Linked DNA regions of Sus scrofa. The protein of the gene in region 2 purifies or fractionates together with the protein of the main gene of each other region. This does not show direct contact. Links are inferred from orthologs where the notes say so. Each region holds a gene or a part of one and is shown on either strand. Other genes may lie near its edges.

Evidence for each region.
Region 1: the proteins of CDK7 (region 2) and ERCC2 purify together in Homo sapiens (affinity purification with mass spectrometry; 10 studies listed by BioGRID and IntAct, counting the BioPlex papers as one, with this or other methods). This does not show direct contact. The link is inferred for Sus scrofa from reciprocal best matches to the Homo sapiens genes CDK7 and ERCC2.

What each region holds. Positions count from the first base shown.
Region 1 is NC_010448.4:51,750,189-51,766,187, forward strand, and holds the start of ERCC2 (TFIIH basal transcription factor complex helicase XPD subunit), read right to left. Parts: upstream 7,321-15,999; 5' UTR 7,174-7,320; coding exon 7,169-7,173; intron 7,053-7,168; exon of another isoform or gene 6,836-7,052; coding exon 6,736-6,835; intron 5,576-6,735; coding exon 5,498-5,575; intron 5,424-5,497; coding exon 5,361-5,423; intron 5,177-5,360; coding exon 5,063-5,176; intron 199-5,062; exon of another isoform or gene 169-198; coding exon of another isoform or gene 85-168; intron 1-84. UniProt on the Homo sapiens protein: ATP-dependent 5'-3' DNA helicase. Component of the general transcription and DNA repair factor IIH (TFIIH) core complex, not absolutely essential for minimal transcription in vitro.
Region 2 is NC_010458.4:47,423,127-47,438,340, forward strand, and holds the end of CDK7 (cyclin-dependent kinase 7), read left to right. Parts: intron 1-193; coding exon 194-304; intron 305-1,151; coding exon 1,152-1,270; intron 1,271-2,470; coding exon 2,471-2,570; intron 2,571-5,923; coding exon 5,924-6,010; intron 6,011-8,873; coding exon 8,874-9,023; intron 9,024-11,758; coding exon 11,759-11,906; intron 11,907-12,282; coding exon 12,283-12,311; downstream 12,312-15,214. UniProt on the Homo sapiens protein: Serine/threonine kinase involved in cell cycle control and in RNA polymerase II-mediated RNA transcription. Cyclin-dependent kinases (CDKs) are activated by the binding to a cyclin and mediate the progression through the cell cycle.

The DNA.
Region 1 (15,999 bases), on a different chromosome or scaffold from region 2:
GACCCGGCCCAGGCACATGCCATCTCTAATCACACCAGAGACAAAGCCCCACCCACCAGAGGGATAAGAATCAGCTCCACCTACCAGGGGGCAGGCACCAGTCTCTCCCATCAAGAAGCCGGCCACAAGCCCCTGTGTACCAACTTCAGCCACAAAGTGGGGGGACATCAAAAGCAGGAGAGGCTACAACCCCATTGCCTGTAAAAAGGAAACCACACAAAAAAGCTCTACAAAATGAAAAGGCAGAGAATTATGACTCGGATAAAGGAACAAGAAAAAAGTCAGAAAAATAGCTAAGCGATCTGCAGATTACCAACCTCCATGAAAAAGACTTTAGACTGATGTTAGAAAAGATGATTCAAGACCTTGAAAATAAACTGGAAGCAAAGATCGATAAATTACAAGAAACAGAAAAGAAATAGAAGACTGAAAGATTAAGAAGAGAATGCAAAATGCAATAGCTAAAATAAATTCACTAGAAGGAACCAATGGCAGGCAGAAGAATGAAGAATGAAGACAGACTGGTGGAAAACACTGACAAAGAACAGAAAAGAGCAAAAAGATTAAAAAGAAATGAAGACAGTCAAAGAGAACTCTGGGACGTTAAACGCACCAACATCCATATTACAGGGGTGCCAGAAGAAGAGAGAGAAAGGGCCAGAGAAAATATTTGAAGAGATAAGAGCCAAAAACTTGCCTAACATGGGAAAGGAATCAATCACTCAAATCCAGGAAGCACAACAAATACCAGGTAAAACGAACCCAAAGAGGGAATTCCCACTGTGGCTCAGCAGTTAAGGAACCTGACTAGTATCAATGAGGACTCAGGTTCAATCTCTGGCACGTACAGTGGGTTAAGAACCTGGCGTTGCCATGAGCTGTGGTGCAGGTCGCAGATGCGGCTCAGATTCCGCATAGCTATCTATGGCTGTGGTTTAGGCTGGCAGCTGTAGCTCCCATTAGACCCCTAGCCTGGGAACCTCCACATGCCGTGAGTGCAGCCCTAAAAACAAAAAAAAAAAAGGAATCCAAATTGGAAAGGAAGAAGTAAAACTGTCACAACTGTCACTGCAGATGACATGATACCATACCTAGAAAATTCTAAAGACACTACCAGAAAACTCTTAGAGCACATCAATGAATTTGGTAAAGTTTCAGGATACAAAATTAATACACAGTAATTGACTACATTATATGCCAACAATAGAAGATCAGAAAGAGAAATTAGGTAAACAATCCCATTTACCACTGCATCAAGAAGAATAAAATACCTAGGAATAAACTTACCTTAAGTCACAAAAGACCTGTACTCTGAAAACTATAAGACACTATAAAGCTCAAAGATGAAAGAAATGAAAGAGGACACAAACATATGAAAAGATATATACCACACTCTTGGATTGGAAGAATCAATAGTGCCAAAATGATTATACTTCCAAAGGCAATCTACAGATTCAATACAATCCCTATCAAACCAATGGCATTTTTCACAGAACTAGAACAAAATATTTTAAAGTTTGAAAGCACAAAAGACCCAGAATAGCCAAAGCCATCCTGAGAAAGAAAAATGAAGCTGGAAGAATCAGGCTCCCTGACTTCAGACTATACTACAAAGCTATAGTCATAAAAACAGTATGGTACTGGCATCAAAAAAAAAAAAAAAAAAAAACCCGCCAGAAATATAGACTGGCAGAACAGGATAGAAACCCAGAATTAAACCCAAATACCTATGGTCAACTAATCTATGACTAACGGGACAAGAAAATACAACGGATAAAAGATAGTCCCTTCAATAAGTGGTGCAGGGAAAACTGAGAGCTAGATGTAAAACAGTGAAATTAGAACACTAACACCATACACAAAAATGAACTCAAAATGGATTAAAGACCTGAATATAAGACCAATTACTATGAAACTCTTAGAGAAAAACAGGCCAAACACTCTCTGACATAAACCACAGAATTACCTTCTCAGATCCACCTCCAAGAGTAATGACAATAAAAACAAAAATAGGAGTTCCTGTCATGGCACAGCGGAAACAAATCTCACTCAGTGGGTTAAGGATCCGGCGCTGCCGTGAGCTGTGGTGTAGGACACAGACACAGCTAGGATCTGGCGTGGCTGTGGCGTAGGCTGGCAGCTACAGCTCCGATTAGACCCCTAGCCTGGGAACCTCCATATGCTGTGGGGGCAGCCCTGAAAAGACAAAAAAAAAAATAAACAAAAATAAACAAATAAGACCTAATTAAACTTAAACGGTTTTACACAGCAAAGGAAACCCTAAACAAAATGAAAAGATAACCCACAGGAGTTCCCGCTGTGGGTCAGCAGTTTAAGAACCCGACTAGCATCCACGAGGATAAACGTTCGATCCCTGGCTTCACTCAGTGGGTTAAGGATCCTGCGTTGCTGTGAGTTGTGGTGTAGGTCACAGACACAGCTAGGATCCCATTACTGTGGCTGTGGTGTAGGCCGGCAGCTACAGCTCTGATTAGACCCCTAGCCTGGGAACCTCCATATGCCATGGGTACAGCCCTAAAAAGACAAAAAAGAAAAGGAAAAACAACCCACAGAATGGGAGAAAACATCTGGAAATGAATTGACTAACAAGGGATTAATCTCCAAAATTTATAAACACCTTCTGCAGCTCAATACCAAAAAAACAAACAACCCCATCAAAAAATGGGCAGAAGATCTAAACAGACAATTCTCCAAAGAAGACATACAGACAGCAGAAAAACACATGAAAAGATGTTCAACATTTATTAGAGAAATGCAAATCAAAACCACTATGAGGTACTACCTTACACGGGGCCAGAATGGCCATCATCAAAATCTACAAACAGGGAATGCCTGTTGTGGCACAGAGGAAACAAATCCAGGATTTGGGTTTGATCCCTGGCCTTGATCACTGGGTCGGGGATCTGGCGTTGCTCTGAGCTGTGATGTAGGTCACAGACGCAGCTCAGATCCCAAGTGCCTGGGGCCGTGGTGTAGGCCGGCAGCTATAGCTCTGATTCGACCCCTAACTGGGAACTTCCATATGCTGCAGGTGTGGCCCTTAAAAGGCAAAAAAAAAAAACCCAAAGTCTACAAACAATAAATGCTGGAGAGGGTGTGGAGAAAAGGGAACCCTCTTACACTGTTGGTGGAAATGTAAATTGGTACAACCACTATGGAAAACAGTATGGAGATTCCTCAAAAAACTGAAAACAAAATTACCATATGATCCAGAAATTCCACTCCTGGGCATCTATCCAGAGAAAACCTCCATATGCCGTGGGAGCGGCCGGAGAATTGGCAAAAAGACCAAAAAAAAAAAAAAAAAAAAAAAAATTTTTTTTTCTTAAATTTATCACCACACACATTTACAATTTTTTTTCTTTCCCACCGTGCTCATAGCATATGGAAGTTCCCAGGCCAGGGATCTCAAACCCTCACTACAGCACTGACCTGAGCCGCTGCAGTAACAACCCCAGATCCTTAACCTGCTGGGCCACAGGAGAATTTCACAATTTTTTTTCTTTTTAAGGCCAATTTGAGGCACATGGAAGTTCCCAGGATAGGGGTCTAATCAGAGCCACAGCCACGCCAGATCTGAGCCACATCTGCAACCTACACCACCGCTCACAGCAACACCAGATCCTTAGCCCACTGAGCCAGGCCAGGGATCGAACCCACATCCTCATGGATCCTAGTCGGGTTCATTAACCACTGAGCCACAAAGGGAACTCCCTTCACAATTTTTTTTCCTTATAATGAGAACTTTTAAGATTTATTCTCTTAAAACTTTCAAATATATGATAGAGTATTATGAGCTATGGTCACCATGCTGTACAGCTGCCCTCAGTATCTGCGGGGGGCTTGGGGGGGGGACTAGTTCCAAGTCCGCCCCACGGATACCAAACCCGCAGATGCTCAAGTCCCTTATATTAAATGGCACAGTAGCCACGACCTATGTCACAGCAACATCAGATCCGAGCTGTGTCTGCGACCTACACCACAGCTCACAGCAACGCCGGATCTTTAACCCGCTGAGAGAGGCCAGGGATCGAACCAGCAACCTCATGGTTCCTAGTCAGATTCGTTTCCACCGCACCATGATAGGAGCTCCCCTATCCGCAGGTTTTGGATCCACACATAACAGGGCCAAGTGTACATTACATCCCCACGACCTATTTCTTTTATAACTAGTCTACTTTTTTGACCCCTTCACCCATTTTGCCCAGCCCCCACCCCTTGCCCAAACTTATCAACAACTGTATGAAGCAGGTAGTTAATTTTTTTGGCCGTGCCCATAGTATGTGGAAGTTCCTGGGCCAGGGATCGAACCCGAGCCACAGTTGTGACCTGCACCACAGGTAATGACACTGAATCTTAACCTGCTGTGCCACCAGGCAACTCCAGGTAGTTAATTACCCTCATTTTACAGAATGGAAGACTGAAATCCAGAGAGCAGAAATCACCTATGCAAGAGTACACAGCCGAGTTCCCACTGTGGCACAGCAGGTTAAGGATCAGGCATGGCCTCAGCTGCGGCTCGGATTCAGTCTCCGGCTGGGAAACTTCCAAAAGTGTGGCCAAAAACGAAAAAAACAAAATAAGTACATGACCAGCCCGTTTCAGAGCCAGGCAAGCAGGGCTGCCGGAGTCCGGAGCTGGGAAGAGGGGTGCTTACCAAAACGCGGTGTCAGCACTTGAGTGAGAGGAGGACTCTGCGTCCCCAGAACATCCCCCGAGAGGCCTAGTCTGGGGATCCAGGGCTCCTGGTTGGACCAAGAGTTTCCTCAACCCAGGGAGTTCCCACTGTGGCTCAACGGAAACGAATCTGACTAGCATCCATGAGGACGAAGGCTTGACCCCGGCCTCACTCAGTGCGTTAAGGGTCCGGCATTGATGTGAGCTGTGGCGTAGGCCAGCAGCTGTAGCTCTGATTCGACCCCATAGCCTGGGAATCTCCGTATGCTGCGGGTGTGGCCCTAAAAAAAAAAAAAAAGGAAAGAAAAAAGAAAAAGTTTCCTCAACCCTAAGGCTTAGGGCAAGGGGCAGGACAGGCACTCACCTCGGGGTGAATACACAGGTTCTTCCGGGAGCTCAGAGCCAGCCCCAGGAATGGCAGCTTCTCGCCCTCCTGTTTCTCATAGAAGCTGAGTAACTTTCGAAGCTCTTCAATCACCTGTTCCAGTTGATGAGGGAGCAGGACTTGGCCTGATTGAAAGCACAAGCCCCAGCCCCTGCCCAGCCAGGCCCCCACCCCTTACCCGGCTTTCCAAACGCCCCTGAAGCTCTGGTGGCAACTGCCAGGGGAACCCAAGGGCTCCGACCGAGTCGGGGAGCAGTGGGCTTGGCTCCAGGCTCACCTTCTCAATCTCGGGCACAGTCCTCGAGCAGTAGATGAGTTTAGTCACCTCCAGCGGATACGCCTGCCGACGACAATGGGCTCAGCCTCTTCCCCCTCCAGCCTCTTCCCCCTCCACGCGCCCAGTGGGTCACTCACCCGCTGGTATGCCATGATCAGGGCCAACAGGGACACGGTCTTCCCGGTGCCTGAGGGCATCTCCAGGACTCCGTGACCCTGGTGTTGAGGAAGAACAAGGCTCTCAGAACTTCAGAGACACAAACTCTGGGGAGTGCCCCCCCCCAATCCTGGAAGAGCATGTCAACACATCAGTTAAAAGTCTGGGCCCCAGGGCAGTGGATTTGAACCCCACTTCTGTTGAGTGGACTTAGGCAAATGCCTTCACCTGGCTGGGCCTCAGTATCCTCATCTCTAAAATGGGTCTCTTCTTCATAGCACAACTAGGAGGACGAGTAAGAAACTAGGTTTAAACATTCCGCATAGTACCCAACAGGTAGTGAATCCTTTTTAATGTAGCAAGCCCCTCCCCAGCACTTACTCTGGGTCTGGCACCACTACCAAGGGTCCTACATCAGTTTCTCAACAGCGAATCTATTGACATTTGGGGGCTGGATAATACTTGATTGTGAGTTCTCTGGGTGGTCTAGGGGTTAGGACTCAGTGTTTTCACTGCTGAGGCCCGGGTTAAAAAATTGTAAAAACAAACAAACAAACACCTGGGAGTTCCCTGGAGGTCTAGTGATTAAGGATTCGGCATTGTCACTGCTGTGGCTCAGGTTTGATCCCTGGCCCAGGAATTTCCACATGCCCTGGGCATGCCCCCCCTCCAAAAAACCCCAACTTGATTGTGGGGGGTTGTCCTGTGCACCTTACAATGTTTAGCAGCATCTGTGGCCTCTAGATGCCAGCCACACCCCCTCCCCACTAGTATGACAGCCAGGAATGTCTCTTGATATCGGTGAATGGGGGGGAAGGTAGAGGGGTGTCAAAACGTTCCTTAATTGAGAACAGCTGCTTTAGGTAGTGAATTAACCCCTAGAGCCTTCATATTAACCTCTAAGGTAGGTATTATTACTAGGCTCGTTTTACAGAGGTGAAAACTGTTCACAGGGAGGTTAAGTGAGTTACCCAAGGGCACACAGCTGTGGGTCCAGGATTCCAACCCAAGGAGCTGGTTCCAAACTCTTTATGTTCCTAAGCCAGCCGCTGAGCAACGCAGCCTCTGATAAATGTTAGCTGCTGCTGTTATTAACCCGTATTATTTTAGATAAGACGAAGTTTGGCCGTACTGGCCTCCCACGGACCTCAGATTTCCAAACTCTAGACGTCCTGCAATCTCAGTCTTAGACGCACGTGAGGCAGCCCCAGCCACCCACCTTGGCATCCAGCGTGCGTTTAAGCTCCAGCATGTAGGAGAACTGCTCCGGGTAGATGTAGTCGTACGGGAAATAGACCAGCAGCCCGTCCACGTTGAGCCTGGAGGCAGGGGCTGCCGGGTCAGTCGCCCGTCCCCTCAGCCCCTCTCCAGCACCCACACTCCGCTGTCGTCAGGCCGAGAGGGGTTACCAGCCCGAAACTGGCCCGCTGGTCTCCCCAGATATCCCCGAGTTGCCCAGGAGCCTCTGGGTACCTTTGGCATCTCATCGCTGACTATCCCCGTTACCGCCCCGTGGGTCCCCACGGCTATCCCCACCCCACCCCTTCAGCCTCCCCTCGCCCCGCTGGGACCCCAGGGGCGCCCACGGGTCCTGGCATCGTCCAGACTCCCGCGCCCGCTTCGCAAGCCGCGAGCCCCCGAACCCCTCTCACTTCATGGCGCCGGCCGCTACTCGCAGAAGCGTCGGCCCGCCTCCCTCATGAATATCTAGTAAAGGCAGGGTCCGCAGGGCGTCCTCGAGGCTCTGCTCCACCTTCGTCAAGACACCATTGGCTGATTCCTCCCGTCACTCCACTGGGGGGCCGTCAATCGGATAATGCGCGTGCGCACGGCAAGGCAGGGGCGGGGGGGCGGTACCACAGGCATTGCTGAGGATCGCCGAGGACCAAGAACAAAACATGGAAGGAAGAGAACCGAGAGAATCGATCCTACTTACTGGGATTCTGGCTTCCTGCATATGTCTGAATTATGAGCAGTGAATACACACTTGATTTCATTCTATTATAGTCTAGCTTTTAAGATGCCCCCTCCACTTGAACAAAGTAATCAGGACTAGAATGGGGGGCCCTAGAGAGGGTTCCTGACCCTGCCTGGGGGATCAGAGAGGGCTTCCTGAGGGAGGGGTCGGGTGAGGAGTAAGTGAGGCAGGGTAAGGTGGCCCAGACTTCGCTGCAGGCGCAGAGGACACCGCTGAAGGCAAGTGGAAGCAGAGGACAGCAAGATGGGGCTGGAATGCGGCTTGGGGAGCACAAACCTCCGAAATGGAAGCCATCCCATGCTTTACACCCAGCCATTTGACATCTCACATGGTCGTTATTCCCAGTCTGTTCTCCTGTACGTGGTAGTGCAAGGAGCACCTGCGTGGCATCTTTTTTATGTTGTTGTTGCTTTTTAGGGCCGCACGTGGGGCACATGGAGGTTCCCAGACTAGGGGGTCTAATTGGAGCTACAGCTGCTGGCCTACACCACAGCCATAGCAACTCCAGATCCAAGCCTCCCGCGTCTGTGACCTACACCACAGCTCACAGGCAACACCAGATCCTTAGCCACTGAGCGAGGCCGGGGATCAAACCCAAAACCTCATGGTCCCTAGTTGGATTTGTTTCTGCTGCACCACGAGAGGAACTCCAGTGTGGCATCTCTTAAGGCTCAGGGTCATGTCTCACTAAATACTTCAACCACTGCCTAACTTGTGAAAGTATATTCTCATTTGACTGTGATAAATGCCATGTGTGGGTATGTGTCATTATCCCCACTTTTTTTTTTTTTTTTTCCCCAGGACCTCACCCACAGTATATTGAAGTTTCCAGACTAGGGGTCAAATCAGAGTTACATCTGCTGGCCACAGCCGCAGCAACACCAGATCCGAACTGTGTCTGCAACCTACACCACAGCTCTTGGAAACGGCAGATCCTTACCCCAATGAGAGAGGCCAGGGACTGAACCCACATCCTCATGGATCCTAGTCAGGTTCGTTAACCGCTGAGCCACGAAGGGAACTCCTTCATTATCCCCACTTGCCCAAGGCTTTACAGCTAGGCCAGGTGCCGCTACCCATGCCACCCCCATCCCAGCCCTGCCCGCTCTGGGTTGTCACAGCCCGGGGATGGTTCTGTCTCCCCCACTGGACTGTGAGCTCCAGGAGTATAGGGCTGACACTGTTTGGGTCACTGCTTTGTGCCCTTTGCCACCAAGTACGGGGCCTGCACAGACCAGGGGTTCAGTAAATATATGCTCAGGTCCCTCACAGTCTGCCCTGGAAAACTGTACTGTGAGATTTTATATGAGGGGCTTCAGTATTCATAGATTTTGGTATCCCTGGAGGAGCCATTCCTCCCGCTTATACCAAGAGATGCAACCTATGCCACAGCTGTAGCAACACAGCATCTTTAACCCACTGTGCCAGGACAAGGATCAAACTAACACCACCACAGAGACAAGCCAGATCACTAACCCACTATCCACAGCAGGAACTCCAAGGGATGACTGTATTTTCTTTCTTCCTTTTTTTTTTTTTCCACTTCTTTCTTTGCTTTTTAGGGCCACACCTGAGGCATATGGAAGTTCCCAGGCTAGAGGTCCAATCAGAGCTATAGCTGCCGGCCTACACCACAACCACAGCAATGCCAGATCTGAGCCACATCTGCAACCTACAACACAGCTCGCGGCAACACCAGATCCTTAACGCATTGAGCGAGGCCAGGGATGGAACCTGCATCTTCATGGATACTAGTTACCACTAAGCCACAATGGGAACTCCAGATGACTGTATTTTCAATCCACTGTTGGTTGAGCAGAACCCACGGGTAGGGAGCGCCAAGTGTAAAACATTTCTTAGAATACATCTCTACATCCAGCTCCTGGTCAAGGGGAGGCTTTACTCAAGGACGTGACTGCCAGATGGCAGGGGTGATTGAGAGCCTTCTTGTAGTCATAGTTCTCTGTGTCTGGAAGGCTCTTGCCTCAGCCCCCGACTCTTTCTCTTCCCCAGAACCCTCCTTCAGTTTTACCTGAATCTGTCTCCAGAATCATAATTCTTTTTTTTTTTTCTTTTCTGCTTTTTTAGGGCCGAAGCCAGCGGCATATGGAGGCTCCCAGGCTGGGGGTCTAATAAGAGCTACAGCCGCCAGCCTATGCCATAGCCACAGCCACACGAGATCCAAGCCGTGTCTACAACCTATACCACGGCTCACGGCAATGCCAGATCCTTAACCCACTGAGCGAGACCAAGGATCGAACCTGCAACTTCATGGTTACTACTTGGATTCATTTCTGCTACACCACAACGGGAACTCCTAGAATCACAATTGTCTTATTGCAGCCTTCTGTGTTTTGTTCTGTGTTAATTTTTGGTTGACACATGTAAGGGAACATTAAGAGGTTCCAGGGATCAGGGCCTGGAGACCTTTGGGGACCATTATTCAGCCTACCCAGGATGCATTGCAATTTAAATAGGGTAGCCAGAAGTTCCCCTTGTGGCTCAGCGGTAATGAACCCAACTAGTATCCATGAGGACGTGGGTTCCATCCCTGGCCTTGCTCAGTGGGTTAAGGATCTGCTGTTGCCAGGAGCTGTGGTGTAAGTCGCAGACGCAGCTCAGATCTCACGTTGCTGTGGCCAAGAGCTGCAGCTCTGATTTGACCCCTAGCCTGGGAACTTCCATATGCCGCGGGTGCGGCCCTAAAAAGACAAAAAAAATGTATAGGGTAGTCAGGGAAGGCCTTGCTGACAATAGCCACAAGGTTGTTGTGTGGTGAGAATCCCAGTTGACTCTGATATGCGCCAGGGAATATCTGTCCTAAAGAAATCAAGTTATTTAGGGTAAGAGTCCCACAAATAGATAGGCTGTCATGAGTTATTTTAGGATAAGGGTCTGACTAAGTATCCCGCATTTTTGGCAGATGTTCTAGATGCCTATGTTAGGACAATAGGTGGTCAAAAGGTCAGATTCCATCCAGGCTGAGAGGTGCCTAAATCACACTTCCTCAGTGGCCTCCCAGCTCCATTTGAGAGCACTCTTCTAGCAATACTGACTCCATTTTTATTTTGATCCCACAGATGGCAAAAAGGGAATTTGCAGATATGACCTTGAGCTATCGAGGTGTGTCGGAAATGTAATCACGTGTCCTCCTAAGAGGGAGATGGTGCAGCAGGACAGAAACAGAGGCGATGTGACACTGAGGCAAGATGCCAGGCTGCAGGCTTTGAAGATGAAGAGGGCAGAGCCAAAGAATGCAAGGAATGCAGTTCTAGAAGCTGGAAAAGGAAATGAAATTGATTCTCCCCTACAGCCTCTGGAGGGAGCGCACCCCTGCCAATACCTTGATTGCGGGCCAGCCTGGTAAAACTAACTTCAGACTTCTGATCGTCTGAATGGTAAGAAAATAAATGTGTGTTGTTTCAAGCCATCAAATTTGGGGTCATTTGTGACAGTAGCCACAGGAAAAGAATACACTTCCAATCGGGCACCTATACTCACCTCGCCTACTCTAGCTTTTTCCATAGCAGTGATCAGCATTTAATAGAATATGGGTTTTTTTTGCTTTTTTTTTTTTTTTTTAATCATCTGTCTCTTCCACTAGAATGTCAGCTCTACAAAAGCAGGAGCATTTTATCCCCAGTTATTAAGGACAATTTCAAATGGGCACAAAAGTTGAGAGAAGAGTCTAAGAGTCTAACGAAGCCCCACATACAGGGAGCTTTATCAGTTTTCAACTCCGAGCTGATCTTGCTTCGTCTATACCCCAACCACTACCCCGCCCGCCGGATGATTATTTTGAAGCAAATCCCAGACATCATACCATTTCACCCCTGAGTATTTCAGAATGTAGCTCTAGGAGTTTCCGTTGTGGCTCAGTGGTTAATGAACCCAACTAGCATCCATGAGGACTCGGGTTCAATCCCTGGCCTTGCTCAGTGGGTTAAGGATCTGGCTTTGCTGTGAGCTGTGTTGTAGGACACAGAGGCAGTTCAGATCCTGTGTTGCTGTGGCTCTGGCGTAGGCCAGTGGCTCCAATTGAACCCCTAGCCTGGGAACCTCCATATACCACTGATGCTGCCCTAAAAGACAAAAAGACACACACACACACACAAAAGTGTAGCTCTAAAAGTAAAGACTCTTGGGAGTTCCCTTGTGGTGCAACAGGTTAAGGATCCAACATTGTCACTGCTGTGTGGGTTCAGTCCCTGGCCTGGGAACTTCCACATGCCACAGGTTCAGGGAAAAAAAGAGAAAAGAAAAAGCTCTTTGTAAGAACATAATCATAGTGTCATTACCCTACCTCAAAAAAAGGAGTAATAATTGCTTACTATCATTCAAGGTGCAGTGTTTGCATTTGAAGGCAAGGACTTTTTTTTGGGGGGGGCTGCACCCACAGCATGTGGAAGTTCCCAGGCTAGAGGTGGAATCAGAGCTGTAGCTGCCAGCCTACACCACAGCTCACAGCAACGCCAGATCCCTGACCCACCGAGCAAGGCCAGGGATCAAACCTGAATCCTCATGGATGCTAGTTGGCTTTGTTTCCACTGCAGCACAACAGGAACGTGGGATCCCGAGTTGCTGTGACTGTGGTGTGGGCTGGCAGCTGCAGCTCTAATTCCACCCCTAGCCTGGGAACCTCCATATGCCACAGGTGTGGCCCTAAAAAGCAAAAAAAAAAAAAAAAAAAAAAAAAAGGAAAGAAAAGAAAACTGAAAGTTCAAGCCAGAAGATTCAAAATCCAAATGAAAATTCCAGGAAAGGAGAGCAAGAAAACAAAGTGGAAGAAATCAGCACATAAATATACAAGGGAGTTTCCCAGAACCAAAGGGCATGAAGGTCCAGACCGAAGGGACCAGACGTCTGGTCAGAATGATGAATGAGTAAAATAACCTGACACAACAGATTATAGAAGGAGATGGCCTCAAACTTCAGATGATGGGATTATCACATATACACTATAACATCACAAATCTAAAGACGCTTAAAGACATAAAGGAATCCAAAACATGAAAAAAGATCAAGATAATACCAAAAAGGAGTTCCCTGGTGTATCAGCAGGTTAAGGATCTCGTGTCATCACTGCTGTGGCTCTGGTTACTTCTGTGGAGTGGGTTCGATCCCTGGCCCAGGAACTTCTGCATGCCCCAGGCTTGGGAAAAAAAAAAACAAAAAACAAAAAAGAGGTCCTGTTGTGGCTCAGTGGTTAGCGAATCCGACTAGGAACCATGAGGTTGCAGGTTCCATCCCTGGCCTCGCTCAGTTGGTTAAGGATCCAGCGTTGCCATGAGCCGTGGTGTAGGTCGCAGATGCGGCTCGGATCCCGCGTTGCTGTGGCTGTGGTGTAGGCAGTGGCTACAGCTCCAATTCAACCCCTAGCCTGGGAACCTCCATATGCCATGGGAGCGGCCCAAGAAACACCAAAAAGACAAAAAAAAAAAAAAAAAGAAAAGAAAAGAAAAGAAAAAGGTTTACCAAAAATAAGACCAATGATAAGCACTTACTAAGTCAGAACAAAGTTCAAAGAGAAGGAAGTCAATTTCTGTGCAAACTACCTTTATTTATAAAGAAAAACTTCCCTATTTGGTTATAAAACCAGCGATGTGTGAAGTCACCTGACTAGGTGGGGCAAGGAGGCTGGCAGAGGTGGCTATGCCTCACCTGGGCCCTGACCGCTGCTGGTAGAGATGGGGGTGGAGGTGACCCACCCCAGGGTCCCCTGGGATGGGAGGTTGTCTGTTTTGGGGGGCGCAGGATGGGGGTGGGGTAAGTTGGCAGTGAGAGTAGGAGGCACTTTGGACGGGATCTGATTTGGCAGATGGAGGGGGGGGTCTCTCTGGCCCCCAAAGATTCCCCGCCCCACCTCGACCTCCCACAGCTAAGGCAGGTTTCTAAACTTAAGGCTGGGCTTCTCCTTCTCCCCAGGGCTTCCAGGGAAGCAGAGAGCTGTTGGCAAGGACCCCACCCTGCAAGGGCCTGGGGCAGAGCGAGATGCAGCAGTAAGGGAGGAGGAGGAGGTGCAGCGAGAAGGCAGTGCTGCTTCCTCCCCGTCCTTTGGAAATGTCCTCTCCAGCTAGACTTTATTCCTCTGAGGCTTCACCCTGGGAAAGAGCTGAGGGAAGACAGAATCTTCAGATACCAGGAGCCCCACCCCCTCATTCCACCCGCAAATTTAATAGTCACCCGACCCACCCCCAAACACAAGGACTGTCTCCATCCTCCAATCCCTTCCTAGTATACTCTCCCAGCATCTCCCAAACCACAGAGGGCGCCTTCCAATCAGCAGCCGGCTGGATGAAAAGAAATATTCTGAGCCTCCCACTGGGCCATAAAAACCGTGGCTGTCTGGGCGGGACTCTTCTCCATCTAATTCCCACTTACCCAAAACGGGATTCTTCACGGCTCCCCATGGCTAAAATATATCATTCTTCACCTTCCGGTGAATATAACTAGAGATAATAACGAGTATTTCTTGAGCACGAACCAGTCAAATAACCAGTAAGGCAGCACTGGTAAGTATCACCAAGGAGGGGCTCTTAGCGCTTTAGGATCTGGCGTTGTCACTGCAGCGGCTCAGGTCGCTGCTGTGGCGCGGGTTAGATCCCTGGCCTGGGATTTTTCCATATGCCAAGTGACAGCAAAGAAAAAAAAGAAGAAGGGGGGCTCTCCTTTACCTCCCCCGTTATTACAACGGGCTCTTTCCTCACCTCCCCACGACGGAAAATGGACTCTTCTGACCTCCCCTCCATCCCAGTATAATGGGCTGTCCCTCTTGCCCCTATTTTTAATGGGATCACCCCTTTCCTCAAACAGCCCTAAGGAGGCGCGCACTGTATCCCTTCTGGGCTCACCCCAAAGTAGTTACGGGGCACGTAGCCCTCCTGGCCGTGAAGCGAGGCCCACCACCAGTCCGTCTCTTCTGGCCCGTCCCTCCGCAACACGGTGACCGACTCGCCCTCGCGGAAGGACAGCTCGTCCCCGAACTCGGCGCTGTAGTCCCAGAGGGCGCACACCACCCCGTTGTGCAGCAGCCCCATGCTCTGCTCCACGTCTGAAACATGAAACGGCACGGATCGTGAGCGCCCGGTCCTGGGGGGCTGGGAACACACAAGGGTACCAGACACGCTGGGAAAGGGAGAGACCCTGGGACTTGGAGGGCGCCACCTGGGGGGCTAAGCCCCCGGAAAAGTTGTGTACCCCTGTCTGGAGAGGGGCACCGGAACTGGAGTCAGCTGCCAGAACGGGCAATGTCTAAAACACTGGGGCGCCCAAGGCTGGGTCAGTGGGCTCCGTATCACTCCCAGAAGTACCGTCTTCAGCCCCTGCTTAAGCGGTACAGTCTCCATGGTGGACCCAACCTCTCCTTCAGACGGTATGGCGTTACTCCTCCCCACGAAGCTGTCCCAACTCTCCCCATTCAGGGGTGCAGGCACACCATTCCCCCTCCCCAAAAAATAAAGTCTCCAGGAGGATGTAATAATTTTCCAGACAGTAGAGCCTGCAAGAAAGCCCCGCCCGCCAACACCCCCCGCCCCACACAAGGTAAAAGTCCCACCCTTTCCAGATGGTACAGTCCACCATGCTCCCCCTCTTTAGTGGTTCAGCCCACTGTGTTCCAGTTTCTCCCCCGGCCCCACGCGTGCTCCGCCCTCGCGGAACTCCCCAGGTCCACGCAGGTAGGACTGTACAATCCTCTTATCTCACAGGCTCCATCTGCTTGTGATAAACGTGGTCATAATCCTCCTCTGCAAAGGTTCCCGCCCTTCCCTTCTGCAGCGGACGGTCTACTTCTCCCCCCCTCCCAGTGGTCCAATCTCTGCCAGCTGCTTCTCCCCCGCAAGGTAGATGTTACAGCCCCTTGCCTCCCCCCCCCCCCCGCTTTCTGCCAGAGCCCCAGAGGCTGTCGCAGTCCCTCTAGGCTCACCTCTCAATAACACTGTCCTACCCCCAGGTCCTACAGCCTGCCTTCCTCCAACTCTGTAAAGTTCCAAACTCTACCCTACGGTACGGTTGGCCTCCCAGGGTGCAGAACGGAGCCCAGGCACACCCCCAGGGTACAGTCTCCAGAGTTTCTTCCGTCACCTCTTGAGGTGATGTGACCCCTCCCTCCTGGAGATATATGGTACAGCCTCATGACTCCCTACAAGTGGAAGAGTCCCCAAGTCCCTCCCCAGAAGGCATGGCCTGTTCACCTGTCACCTGTGTGGTACTGTATTTCCCACAGGTAGCACAGCCCGGGGCCCAGCCGTAGGCCAGGTAGATGGTGTAGCTGGAACGTCCCACTCCCCACCCCCGCAGATGAGAAGCAGATAAAGCAGTGCAGGGAGTTCCCGTGGTGGCTCAGTGGTTAACAAATCCGACTAGGAACCATGAGGTTGTGGGTTCAATCCTTGGATCCCTGGCCTCGCTCAGTGGGTTCAAGATCTGGCGTTGCTGTGAGCTGTGGTGCAGGTCGCAGCCGCGGCTCGGATCGCACGTTGCTATGGTTGTGGCGTAGGCCCGCGG
Region 2 (15,214 bases):
GCACTGCTTTCTTTCTAAACCAAAGATACTTTCCCTAACCACAAATTCTGATAGCGCCTCCTAGGGAGAGTTAGGCAGCCTCTCTTGAGGTTCTCCTCTATGAATAAATCCATTATATGTCTCTAAGTGATTTTATATAGTAGAGTTTATTTGGAATAATAAAGTACCTGCACATTGTATGCCTGCCTTATAGGTTATAATAAAGGATAACAGTCTTGTGCTAACACCATCACACATCAAAGCCTACATGTTGATGACTCTTCAAGGATTAGAATATTTGCACCAACATTGGATTCTACATAGGGTAAGGTTTTTAGCCAAGTAGGATTGCTTTTTTACATTGTAGTCAAATTTTATGCCTCCCGTTTATTACACGAATGGTTAATGTCAATAACTGATAACTGAGGACAGTGTTAGAACCTAGCTCTTCTGACTTTAAGTCCAGAGTTCTTTGTGCTATGCTGTTTTGTGGAGGAGGAAAAAAAGCCAAAAAAACAGTTGGGATTAAATTTTGTAATGCAAAAATGTCTGGAAAAATAGTGTTTATAGAAGCTCTGAAATTCTAGGAAGTAATGAAATAAAATTTCTGAAATGGCTGAGTCATTGTTAGGAACATTGAGCTGTAGAACAAGGCTGATAATTTAGACAGATGTGCCTAGGTGCCTAAATACCTGAAAATGTATATCATTTATATTTAGTAAATCTCATTCTTAAGCTAGGAATCCCTTTTAGGTTTTTGCTAGATTTTGAGGGCCATATTCCTCATCCTTTCTAAATGCGTAATGTGTTTATTTACTAAAATTCATGCATATTATTATTAAATTAGTAGCAGCTATTTATTTAGTGCTTACCATGAGCCAGTCATTAGACTAGGCTAGGCTTTTTACAGGAAATAAATTTAATCCTCACAGCAGCCTCAGGAAGTAGGTAAATTAAAGTTCAGAGAAATTAAGTACTTTGACCCAAGGTCTCACTAAATAATATGTCCAGTTTTTGTCCAGAATTTTGCATCAATGAAAAGAATTGATGGTAATTTAAATTGGGGGGGTTACTCTGTTTCTGCTAAGTTTAAATTTAAGCCAACTAAATGTATCATTATGATATTCTCCTCTACCCTGCTTACTTTTTTGTTTAAAACTTCCATAATACAGGATCTAAAACCAAACAACTTGTTGCTAGATGAAAATGGAGTTCTAAAACTGGCAGATTTTGGCTTGGCAAAATCATTTGGGAGCCCTAATAGAGCTTATACACATCAGGTTGTAACCAGGTAAGAATTCCTTAACTAACTGAAAGCTTATATATGTAGAGTATTCATCGTAAATGAGCATTATTTGGCTTCCCTGAAATTTTGGCACAGTTTCAGGGATTATTGTTGGAATTTATTAAAAATACAGCCCTTGGCATTCCCTGGTGGCCTGATGGTTAAGGATTTGGCATTGTTAGTACTGTGGCTCGGATTCCATCCCTTGCTTGGGGACTTCTGCTTGCCAAAGGCATGGCCAAAAAAAAAAAAAAAAAAAAAAAACCCAACCTGGCTCTTTTAATATGTGTATCTTACCACAGTGAAAAAAATAGTTCTTATTTCAAAAGGAGTTGAATTAACTCATTCCTCAGATATTTACCTAGTAATTTTGGTGTCTAATTTATACTTCTTTTATAGTTCAGTTAGGCTTGTTGAAACTTTCGTGGCTACGTAATCACCTGATTTGGGCGCCTATGTTTATTGATTGGTCATGATTCCATATTTTATATCACTCAGTGTGAATGAAAATACTCTCGACGAAGCAGTGCATTTATGTATATTTGGATTTTTCATATTAATGGTATTTTCTTTTTAAATTTTTTTTTTTTGTCTTTTTGTCTTTTCTAGGGCCGCACTCGCAGCATATGGAGGTTCCCAGGCTAGGGGTCTAATCGGAGCTGTAGCCACAGGCCTACGCCAGAGCCACAGCAACGCGGGATCTGAGCTGCGTCTGCAACCTACACCACAGCTCACGGCAACGCAGGATCCTTAACCCACTGAGCAAGGGCAGGGATTGAACCCGCAACCTCATGGTTCCTAGTCGGATTCGTTAACCACAGCACCACAACGGGAACTCCTTTTTTTTTTTCTTTTTAGGGCCGCCCTTGCAGCAGATGGAGATTCCCAGACTAGGGGTCAAATCGGAGCTCCAGCTGCCAGCCTACACCACAGCCACAGTCACACCAGATCCAGGCTGCATCTTTGACCTACACCGCAGCTCACGGCAACACCAAATCCCCAATCCACTGAGCGAGGCCAGGGATTGATCCTGAATCCTCATGGATCCTAGTCGGGTTCGTTAACCACTGAGCCACAAAGGGAACTCTGAATTAATATATCCATAAGAGTGAATTTCATCAGTGGATGTTGTTTCACTGAGTTTTCTCTAAGAAATACTTTAATAATTCCATTCTTAAAATGACAATATATCTTGTTGTTGCTCAGATGGTATCGGGCTCCTGAGCTACTATTTGGAGCTAGAATGTACGGTGTAGGTGTGGACATGTGGGCTGTTGGCTGTATATTGGCAGAGTTGCTTCTAAGGGTAAGTCTTAAATTGATGTACACATTTGAGTATTGTTCTAGAAGTTTGTTCTTACAATTTGTATAAGAATTATCTTCCCAGAGGTAATTCCCAGAGATGGACCATCCTAAAAACAAAAAGGCAACAGAGAGAACAATTTTAAAAAAACAAAAACAAAAAACCTCTGCAAAATGCAGCCTTTTTATTAATACTAATGCGAAATGAGAGGCCTCCCATTTAGGACCATAGTTTTATTGTAGATCATTTCTATGTTCTGAGATAGACCTAGAATAAAACTCTCACTGAGTTGTATGTAATATGGTACTATCTCTACAGTAACTAAATGTGTTTGGATGAACGTCTGTACTCCTTTTTTGGGGGGCTGTTTTAAAGGACACTTTAAGAGATGTAATACCAACCACAGCAGCTGCAACTCTGCATCACTTTAATGTATGAGGGGAGCATTTCAGTTCTCTTTAAGCAGAGCAGACATAGTGGTCCTAAGACCATCTTACAATGAAGCATTTTCTCACTTCCTTTTACTGGAGAGAAAGGTGCCATTTTGGGAAGTTTTTTTTTAGCCGTAAAGTTTAGTTTAGCCCTTCTCAGTGATGAAGGTAGAGGAATATTGAGGAATCTCACTAAGGCTGACTTTTTTTCTCCCTAAATTCCAGATTCTAGCTCTTACTCTCCCTCTCCTCAAGCTACATATATTTAAAGAAATGTGAACCCAAAACATGAAAATCTATTTATTTCCTTGAACACAAAAAATAGCTTTGCTACACCAGAGAGAGAAGTTACCTTCTTAAATGTCTTTTTTAGTTTAGTGTACGTTTTATGCATCATCTTGAGAAGCTCACCCCTCAGAATACTTGCATGTAAAAGAGAGCCTCACATTTAGGCTTGGAGGTAATATCAGTAATCCCTGTGCTAGTAATGGGACCTTTTGAATCATCTGGTGTGACAGCTCCGCTACTCAAAAGAACGTAGAGTTTATTAGAAATTTACATTCGAGAATCTATGAACTCTCAAAAGCATAGTTCACGCACGACCAAGACAAAATGGAATTTCATAGCCCCTAGTCATGACTGATCATTCCATTTAGAAAGTCAGTGGAAGCAAATAGCAGTTGAGAATATTCTTCCATGGTTGTTTTGTTTTGTGGGCTGTGCCTGCGGAGGTTCCTAAGCCAGGGATCAAACTTGTGCCATGGCAGTGACAATGCCAGATCTTTAATCTGCTGAGCCAACAGGAAACTCTCAGTGATTCATTTTTTAAAAGACAGCTTTTTTATTTTATTTTTTTGCTTTTTCAGGGCCACACCTTCAGCATATGGAGGTTCCCAGGCTAGGGGTCTAATCGGAGCTACAGCTGCCAACTTACACCACAGCCACAGCCATGCAGGATCTGTGCCGTGTCTGCAACCTACACCACAGTTCATGGCAATGCCAGATCCTTAACCCACTGATTGAGGCCAGGGATTGAACCTGAAACCTCATGGTTCCTAGTCAGATTCGTTTCCATTGTGCCATGACAGGAACTCCATAAATACATAATTTAAATAGTGGTTGTATTAAGTCTGGGTCCAATCACAATATTGAAGCCACACATTTATTTGAAAAGGGAAGCACAATATAAAGAATTATAAAAAATAAACTATGACAAGAGGTTGGAATAATGAGAGACTGACTTATAAAAAGTAAAGAGAACTCTAAATATAGAACTGGCAGATATAATGAGCAGCCCCTCATACCTAGGGGTAACCCTAGGACTAAGAGCACCCAAAGAAGAGGACCCACAGGGCTGAGATCTAGATCTCTTGAAGAGGGCTCAGAGGATGGCAGAGAAGCTGCCGTAGAGCTGTGCTGGCAGAACTTGCCGAAAATCTGCTCTCCAGAACATGTGGAAATCTATTCTCTTGGGATGTGGAGGAAAGCATTTCTCTGGAGCTGCTCTGCCACAAGACCATCTCCCAGGGGTTCTAGAGGGCAGCTGCTGGCTTCTGTGCACTGTTGGAGTTGGGCACTGGAAAGACTGCCCACACTGCAGGAACCTGGTATTGATTCTAGAAGCTGAGAGTGCTGCAGGAGCCTGCCAGGCAAGCAGGCTGGAGCCAGGAAGCAAAACTCTATTCTTCCTATAATGTCTCTTAAAGGGCCCAGATCCACTATTACAAGAAGTCAAAAAGGGTGACTTTGGAATATATTGATAACTGACAGAGGTTGGTTTTGTTTTGTTTTGCTGGTAGAGTTTCACAGTAATAAAAATGTTGGATACTTGGTACTTAATCTCATGTCTTCCCAGTAATTCTGTAAATTTTCATAGCCTTTAACAGTGCCAGAAGCCTCACAGAGTAGCGAAAACTCCTTTTTTCTTTTCGGTATATTTACATGTCTGAGAATGGTTTGAATATAATGTCTTTGCATGGCAGAATTTATCATTTTGTATCAGCTTACTAAATATTTAACTTGTAATTATTTATCTCCTTAAAGTTGGCCCATATAGCTCTTTAGAGATAGTATTTGCAAAGAGGTCGTTTAAATAAGATTGGGATATAGATGTATTCTCTTGCTTCCTAGCACTTGCACCTGCCCTTTTACTGGAATAGTTTTTTTCTTCCGTCTTAGACTTTTTGTTTGCAACTCTCCTCTTTGCTCTTCGGAAACTTTCACGACCACTCCTGTAGGAGTCTTCCCTGCCCTGTCTAGAGTGTCTTAGGTGCAGTTCCTGTGTGGGCTGGGATCCTATCCTGTGCTCTCACTAAACATATCGTCTTGTTCGGTAGTAGTAGTATCACTGTGCGCCATGTTCACTCCAAGGGGGAGTGGGGGCTGTCTTGTTCCCTTGTTTAAATGCCTAGGGCTTAGCACAGTGCCTCTTACATGCTAAGTATTTATTAACGATTTGAGGAGTGAATAAAATGGGCAGTGTGGTACTCTTGGTTAGCAACAGCAAGCTCTAATGCCACATTTGGTGTATCTTAGACCACATTTAAGTTCCTGTTAGTTTAGTTGTTCTTTCTTTCTTTCTTTTTGTCTTTTTGCCTTTTCTAGGGCCGCTTCCCGCGGCATATGGAGGTCCCCAGGCTCGGGGTCTAATCGGAGATGCAGCCACAAGCCTATGCCACAGCCACAGCATTGCGGGATCCAAGCTGCGTCTGCAACCTACACCACAGCTCACAGCAACGCTGGATCCCTAACCCACTGAGCAAGGCCAGGGATCAAACCATCAACCTCATGGTTCCTAGTCAGATTTGTTAACCATTGAGCTACAACGGGAACTCCAGTTTAGTTTTTCTTACTAAGTTTTTAGTATTGTTTGTGTAACAGCTGTCACAAACCATCTTGAATTACCTGCTTCTCGCTTTCTCTCAGGTTCCATTTTTGCCGGGAGATTCAGACCTTGATCAACTAACAAGAATATTTGAAACTTTGGGCACACCAACTGAAGAACAGTGGCCTGTAAGCCGTCATACATTTTCTTTGAAATTTAGTTAGGATTCTGTATAGTACTGTAATGTGAATATTACTTAAAGAAATATGTTAACGGTCCTAATTTGCTAGTAATATGTACTCACTGCAAAATTTATACAAAGTTAAAGTTGTGATATACCATCCAGCCTCATATAAACATAATAGCTCTCCCCCATCCAAGGGTTAATCACTGTTTCTTGGTGTGATTACATAGAGAATTGGGTTTTTTTTTTCTTTTTTTCTTTTTTTTTTCCTTTTTTTTTGATCAAAAATGGGATCACATCATATGATTTTTTATTGTAACCAACTTGTTCTTTTTTCTTAAATTAACTGTTAATGTTTTCCTTTTTAGGCCATATAGTATTTCATTTTATGGATGTTCATTTTTGTTTATCAACATCTTGATGGATTTAGGTATATTCATTGAATTTTCACTAACGCAATCAAGATTTTTTAGTATTATGATTATTTTTAACCCGTTACATTTTTTGCAAAAGAGTAATACTAAATCTGTGATAAAAAATTTGCAACACTGTAAATTGCTACATTTTATGTATTACAGTTCAGTAAAATTTTCACTTGTTTGTTCTTAATATTTTAGACTTTTCGATTTTCCTTCTCTATATATAGCCTGAGGAAAAAAATAAATACTGGAAAAGAAAATTTTTAATCAGCCTCTTTACCTTCTGATTAAAACTGTAATGAAGTTTCTTTTGTGCAGAGTTCTGTGCCTGCCTGCTTGGACCTCTCACAAGTGTCCTAGCTTAATAAATCTATTTCTTCCCTAAAAAAAAAAAGTTTCTTTTGTGCTATTACTTCCTCAGCTTTCCAGTTGAAAGTTGACTGTGAGTTCTAATAGCTATCATTTATCAGACACTTAGCTCTATGCCATTAGTATATAAGGTAAAGTTATCATAAGTTATGTTTAATTTTCCTAATAATCCTATTAAAGTACTGTTATTCCCATTTTACAGATGAGACAACTGGGTTTTAGTGAGATTAAATAACTTACCTGAAGCTACCCAGGGTCAAGAGCTAGGACTCCAGTCTGAATCTGTCTGACTTAAGATCTGTATTTATACTATTCTGTACTTTTCTCTCTGACATGATTTTCTAAATAGTAGTTAGTTACTGATGTTTTCCTTCAATTTTTAAAAATTCTTTTTGTAATTTAATTTTATTCTATTTTATATGATGATTTTTATTTTTTTCCATATGGCTGGTTTACAGGGGTTCTGTCAATTTTCAACTGTACAGCAAGGTGACCCAGTTACACATACATGTATACATTCTTTTTTCTCACATTATCATGCTCCATCATAAGTGACCAGACATAGTCCCCATTGCTACACAGCAGGAATTTAAAAATTCTTGTTTTGATTACATGCAAAAAGAAATAACAGAGGTATCCCTTGCACCCTTTACCTCTCTTCCCACAATGGTACCATCTTACAAAATTGGTATAATGTCACAACCAGCACGCCAACATGTGAATGTACAGGACCTCATGTTGCCCTTTCACAGTCACCCACTTTCTTTCCACTTCCACCCCTACCTTACCCCCTGCCAATCACTAATACGTTCTCCATTTTTATAACTTTGTCATTTCAAGAATATTATAAATGGAGTCATATAATATGTAAACTTTTGAAATTTACTTTTTTTTTTTTCCACATTCAGTGTAATTCTCTGGAGATTTATCCAGGTTGTTGTGTATCTCAGAAATTCATTGTACCAGTTTGCCTAACTATTTGCTCATTGAAGGACATCTGCATTGTTTCCAGTTTTACTATAAACATTCATTACAGGTTTTTGTGTAAGCACAAGTCTTTTTTTATCTGGGATAAATGCCCAGGAGTGCAGTTGCTGAGTCATGGTAGTTGCATATATAGCTTAAGAAACTGCCAAACTACTTTTCAGAGGGGCTGTATTCATATTATAGTCTCACCAGCAGTATGTGAGTAACCCATTTTCTCTGCATCCTCTCCAGCATTTGGTGGTGTCACTTTTTTATTTTAAGCATTATGAGGGGTTTGTAGTGATAGCTCATTGTGATTTTAATTTTTTCCTCCTTAATGACTGCTGATGTTGAATATCTTTTCATATGCTTATTTGTCATCTGTGTAGCTTTTTTTTTTTTTTTTTGGTCTTTTTTTAGGGCCACACCTGTAGCATATGGAAGTTTCCAGGCTGGAGGTCTAATTGGAGCTGTAGCTGCTGGCCTAACGCCACAGCCACAGCGACTCGGGGTTGGAGCCGTGTCTCTGACCTACACCACAGCTCACAGCAATGCCAGATCCTTAACCCACTGAGCAGGGCCAAGGGATTGAACCCTGTGGCCTCATGGATGCTAGTGAGATTTGTTTCCACTGAGCCACAATGGGAACTTCTCATCTGTGTAGCTTTTTTTTTTTTTTGGTCTATTTAGGGCCGCACCTTAAAAAAAATTTATACAAATTTGAGAACTCTAGACCTCCTTACAACATTGAATCCTCTAATCCATATGATAGATTTTAGCATTTATTTGGAGCTTTGATTTTGTTTCATCAGAGTTGTACAGCTTTCATTATATGAGTCCTACACATTTTGTTAGACTTTCATTCACCAAAGCATTTCATGGTTTTTCAGTGGTTCTAAATGGTATCCACATGTTTATTGTACAGTTGATTTTTTTGGAATCATTATCTTCCTGTAACATTGTTCACTTAGTTCTAAGAGATTTTAAATAGATTTCTTGGGATTTTCTACATAGATCATTGTATCATGTACACAGCCGTTTTATTTTTTCACTTGAGGTCTATATACCTTTCAATAGGTATGTTCTTAATGAATTATAAAAATATTTTTACAGGACATGTGTAGTCTTCCAGATTTCGTGACGTTTAAGAGTTTCCCTGGAATCCCGCTACAACATATCTTCATTGCAGCAGGAGATGACTTGCTAGATCTCATACAAGGCTTATTCTTATTTAATCCATGTACTCGAATTACAGCCACACAGGTATTTTAACATATCTTTTGATTTCTTAATGTGTTCTAATATTCTTAAAATACTGAAAAGATGGGGTTCTGGTTTTTTTAACTTAATTTTTTATTGAAGTATAGTTGATTTATCTGTTTTGTTTTAAGGAATAACAGATTTCATCTTCTCCCTAAGCTACAGACACTGTTCAAGACTGGTATTAAATTATATAATGTACATGCAGGTGCAGGAGAGTTTACTCTTGCTTAGGAACATATAAATACACTTCTATTTGATAATTTGCTTTCAACTTGAAAGTTTACTTAGGAAAAATATAAGGTTTTTGTATTTGTAAAGATACTGGTATATTTCAGTTAAATTCTTATGTGTTAACTTAAATCTCGTGCCAAAGCCTGTGCCAAAAGTATTTTGTTCAGTTTTTTCCCTATAAAATGCAGTCTAGATGTGCATGCTGGTCATTGTGGCAGTCCAAAAGTGATAATGGGAGTTCCCACCAGGGTGCAGCGGAAAAGACTCCGACTAGGAACCATGAGGTTGCAGGCTCGATCCCTGGCCTTGCTCAGTTAAGGATCTGGCGTTGCCATGAGCTGTGGTTTAGGTCACGGATGCAGCTCGGATCCTGCCTACAGCCTGTGGTGTAAGCTGGCAACTGTAGCTCCGATTTGACCTTTAGCCTGGGAACCTCCATATGCTGAGAGGTGAGGCCCTAAAAAGCAAAAAAGAAGAAAAAAAAAAGAAAGTGATAATGGAAAAGTTTTTTTTTTTTTCTTTGTTTTAAAAGCCACACACACAAAAGAAAAACAAGCACACACAAGTGGATGGAGTTAATAACACTTAAAATTGAGGCAGGGAAATGCAGTGCAAAAATGCAACACAGTACAATGATTTGGCTTCATAAAAGGAGAGACTGAAATGTCTCAGATCTTCATACCTGGCAGAACATGTTAATGCACCATATATCAGGGATACAAAGTGGATTTTTTTTCACTTAAATTTATTACAGACTCATTGTTTAACTCATTTATTTCTATTATTAGCCTTCTCTTCTTAGCAGCATGTGCTACATTGATGCATATATACTATGTATTTTACCATTGGAATTACCCTTCTAATTTCAAACAAGTAACTCATTTTTACTTTTTCACCCAGGCGTATATACATATTATCTCCAGCATAAGAAACTTGAGGCCAGATAAGATTATCTAGAAAGTTATTATCATAAACAATAAAACTCAAAATTTATAGAAAAATGCTAATTGTGATAACTTGTTTGGGTTGTATATTGATAGAATGAATTTATTTTAATGGGTTTTGGCTTGTGGATATTTAAAAGTTGAAATGAGATATTCTTTCTTTCTTAGATCTCTTTGTAGCTCAGAATTAGCTTAATTTACTTAGGAAACTGCTACGATTTGGAATTAATGCTTTTTGTAAGTGCAACTCTTTTTTTTTTTTTTTTTTTTCCCCCCCATTTCTTGGGCTGTTCCCTGTTGACATATGGAGGTTCCCAGGCTAGGGGTCGAATTGGAGCTGTAGCCGCCGGCCTACACCACAGCTCACCACAACGCTGGATCCTTAACCCACTGAGCAAGGCGAGGGATCAAACCCACAACCTCATGGTTCCTAGTCAGATTCGTTAACCACTGAGCCACGACGGGAACTCTGAAACTCTTCTAAAATAAGAAATCTCTAAATTATTCCTGCAGATAATACTATGTTGACTGGTGGAAGGAGGTATTAAAGTTTATATGACTTTTTTTGTTCCTTAGAGAATTATCCAAAAGGAAATGTCCTAAATTAATGTGGCTCTTGAACAGTACTACGATGCAAATAAAGTATGAACTTGACAATTTTGTCATCTAGAATAAAACTTTTTATTGGAATTTTGGACCTGAGTGGAAATATCATATTATAGAATATTGGACTGGTAGTAAATAGAAATAACCTTGGGCAAGTATTTCCAAGAAAATTACTGTCAATTTTAGTGGATTATTGGATTTTAATCCATTGTTTCCAACCTATTGCATCTTTTAAAAAGTTTTATTTCTAAGAATTTAGATGAGATGGTGAGTCCCCTATAGCACAGCGTGTTAAAGATCTGGTGGTGGTGTCACTGCAGAAGCCTGAGTCACTGCTGTGGCACAGGTTTGATCCCTGAAACATCCATATGCCATGGGAGCAGCCAAAAAAAAAAATACATGATTTTGAATTTGAATACATATAGATGTTCTGACAAATAAACTTGAGAGTTCTTTTTAAGCAAGTTTCTCTCTTTGTGTTTTGAACTGTAGAGCATATAATGTGTAGAGAGCTGAATTATGCAATATCTTATTAAGGATATTTCATATTTAGTACATGCTATTTATGGAAAAATTTGAAGGTAATCTTTTTCTAGTCATGGAATTGTCAGTGAATCTTAGGCTGCTAGATGTTTTTTCTTTCTTTTTTTCAGAGGGGGTGGGCAGCTGCATGCCTGGCATATGTAAGTTTCCACACCAGGGAGCAAATCCGAGCTGCAGCTGTGACCTACAGCTGTGGCAGTGCTGGATCCCTAACTCACTGTGCCACAGCAGGAACTCCTGCGAGATGTTTATTTGTATTAATTTGCACGTCCAGTACTTGAAATTAAGTTTGTGAAGGGGATTGTTCACATAGTATTGTTAATGCTCCTTACAGTTTTGGAAGTTAGATTTTCTTAAACACAATTCAGATACTCACTTAAAGCCTTACTTTGTTACCTTTTCTTTCGAAAGGCATTGAAAACTAAGTATTTCAGCAATCGGCCAGGGCCAACACCTGGATGTCAGCTGCCAAGACCAAACTGTCCAGTGGAAGCTTTAAAGGAACAGTCCAATCCTGCTGTGGCAACAAAACGGAAGAGAACAGAGGCCTTGGAACAAGGTAAAACTCTTGTTTTCATGGGAAATGAAGGGAATTCTGAAAACTCCAGATAACTGATATATAGGTAGTAGCTGAAGGGCAGCAGAGAGATGGAGACTGTTTATTTGTTCAAAACTTCAATTATGTAAAGTAGAATGTGGTATTTTAGCTGTATTTGCTTCAATTGAGAATATTTACGTAATGCTTTTTAAAAGGACAGTTTTGAGTGTATCTCAGAATTATAAGAACTGTCAGTATGTACCCTATTTCTATAAAATTCCTACTGGTACATTGTATTAGAAAACCAAAGCAAGTAAAAATAAATGTAGTTGGAATGCAGTGACTGGTTAAAATTGCTATAAGATGAAATGTAAACAACCTCATTTTTCCCCCCCAGGAGGATTACCCAAGAAGCTAATTTTTTAGTTACAGAGAACACTGGACAATATTCTACTACTGAAGGAAATAGTGGAAAAGGCAAATTAGTAGAAAAATAGTAAACATTAAGTAAAAAAGGAATTTGTAAATATTCTACCTGTGTAAAATATGTAAAATTGGGTTGTTTTTATTAAATGTATTTTAAAACAAACAATTCTGATTTTTCTGATTAGAGTGCAATGTAAGATAAATTCAAGTTTCTGAAATGTAGAATTGAAAATGCAAATGCATTAAGGAAACCTTAATAAGAATAATTTTCAGTTATTTTAGTGATCCAGCCCAGATAGCATTACAGATTTGTAGTAAAGGGGGTAGTACTGAAAACTAGAAAAACAGTAGTAATGTAGCAAATACCTACTACCCTGACTTAACAAATATTATATATTAAATGGGAGACAAAAAAAAAAAGGAGAGAATAACATTACAGATAAAATTGAGTTCCCTTTACTGTGTCGTTCCATTTTATTTTTTTCCTTTTCACCCTCCCCAAAGGAGAATGACTCACGAAATGAGTGTGTCCTCCCATCAGTTAATAGTGCTATTTTAGAAGAATGCCTGTGGTAATATACAGCATTTGGGTCTCAAAATTTTATGAGTGGTAGACTGTACATCTCATACAGCACTTTTTTTTTTACTCAAAATTTTAATATTTTATGTTCATATGTATAAATCTAGTTTTTGTTTTAACTGCCATGTAATAGTAATATATATATTATATATACATACACACACACACACATATAATACCGTATGTATAAACACTATGGCATGCTCTATTTATGGATTGTTGTTATTTTTCTTTTGTTGCATAAAAATTGCCATAAGTGTAGCAGTGTAAAGTAACACAGATTTATCCTGCAGGTCATATGTCTGGCATGGCTCACCTATATTTTTTTGCATAGGCCAGTATCAAGGTGGCAGTTGATTCCGGGCTCTTATCTGAGGCTCGAGGGAAGAATTTGCTTCCAGGTTCATACAGTTCATGTCATTTTAAGCACATGCCTCCTATCCTTGCTAGTGGTCAGTCATTGGTCCCTCTTGGCTTCTTAAGGCAGTCCAGTAGCCTTATTGCAGGGCACTCTTTATCTGTAAGCCAGCAAAACTGTCAAACTGTCTGGCTTCCTCATCTGTTACCAAGAGAGAGAAATCTTTTTTTGTTTTTGTTTTTTAATTTTTTAGGGCTAATATCAGCTCACTTAGGTCTTAATTATACATCTTAAAAACTCTCTTCATAGCAGTTCCTAGGTTAGTGCTTGAATAATCAGTACAGGAGTCTTTTTTCCATAGTATATATTGATGACTTTTTAAAAGTTTTTATTAGTATAGTTGATTTACCAAGTTATATTTCTGCTATACAGCAAAGTGATTCAGTTATATATACATATATATATTCCTTTTTTAATTACTTTTCCATCATGGTTTATCACAAGATAGTGAACATAGTTCCCTGTGCTAAACAGTAGGTCTTGTCTATCTATCCTATATATTATAGTTTGTGTATGCTGATCCCAGACTCCCAATCCATCCCTCCTCCACCCCGCTCCTCCTTGGCAGCTGTAAGTCTAGGATAGGAATCTTGAGAAAGCCATCTTTAGGATTCTGCCACATGGACATTTAGGTTATGTTTAGTTTTTCACAGTTATTAAAAAAATGGAATGTTGATTTGCACATGCAAGAGTTTCTCTAATGTACATACTCAGAATTGTAGTTGTGAGGTCAAGTATGTGTTTTCAGTTAGTGTTGATATTGCCATGTTTCTCCAAAGTAGTTATTACCTATCAGTTTACATTCCCAGTAGCTGTTCAATAGTTCTTAAAAATGAAGGAGCCCCTGGAGTTCCCGTCGTGGCACAGTGGTTAACGAATCTGACTAGGAACCATGATGTTGCAGGTTTGATCCCTGGCCTTGCTCAGTGGTTAAGGATCTGGCATTACCGTGAGCTGTGGTGTCAGTCACAGACTCAGCTTGGATCTGGCGTGGCTGTGGCTGTGGCATAGGCTGGTGGCTACAGCTCCGATTCAATCCCTAGCCTGGGAATTTCCATATGCCACGGGAGTCGCCCTAGAAAAGGCAAAAAGACCAAAAAAAAAAAAAAAAAAAAAAGGAGCCCCTAACCTTACACCGTATACAAAAATTAACTTAAAATGGATCAAAGACCTAAAGTTCAAAGATCTAAAACTATAAAAATTCTTAGGAAATAACATAGGAAAAAAAACTTTATAACATCAGATTTGGCAGGGACTTCCTGGATAGGACCTCAGAAGAACAGGCAACAAAAGTTAAAAATAGACAGTTTCGGAGTTCACGTCGTGGCGCAGTGGTTAACGAATCCGACTAGGAACCATGAGGTTGCGGGTTCGGTCCCTGCCCTTGCTCAGTGGGTTAACGATCCGGCGTTGCCGTGAGCTGTGGTGTAGGTTGCAGACGCGGCTCGGATCCTGCGTTGCTGTGGCTCTGGCGTAGGCTGGCAGCTACAGCTCCGATTCAACCCCTAGCCTGGGAACTTCCATATGCCGTGGGAGCGGCCCAAGAAATGGCAAAAAGACCAAAAAAAATAGACAATTTGGACTATATCAAAATTAAAAGCTTATGTGTATCAAAGAAACAGTAGAGTGAAAAAGCAACCTAAGGAATGAGAGTAAACATTTGCAAATCATCTATCTGGTAACGTGTTAATAACCAGAATAAAGAATATAGTTGTTACAGTTCAACAATTTAAAAAAATCCAATTAAAAAATGGATAGTGCTCACTTTGGGAGCTCATATACTAAAATTGGAAAGATACAAAGAAGATTAGCATGGCTCCTGTGTAAGGGTGATACCGAAATTCATGAAGCATTCCATATTTTTACAAATGAATCTATCTACAAAACAGACATATAGAGAACAGA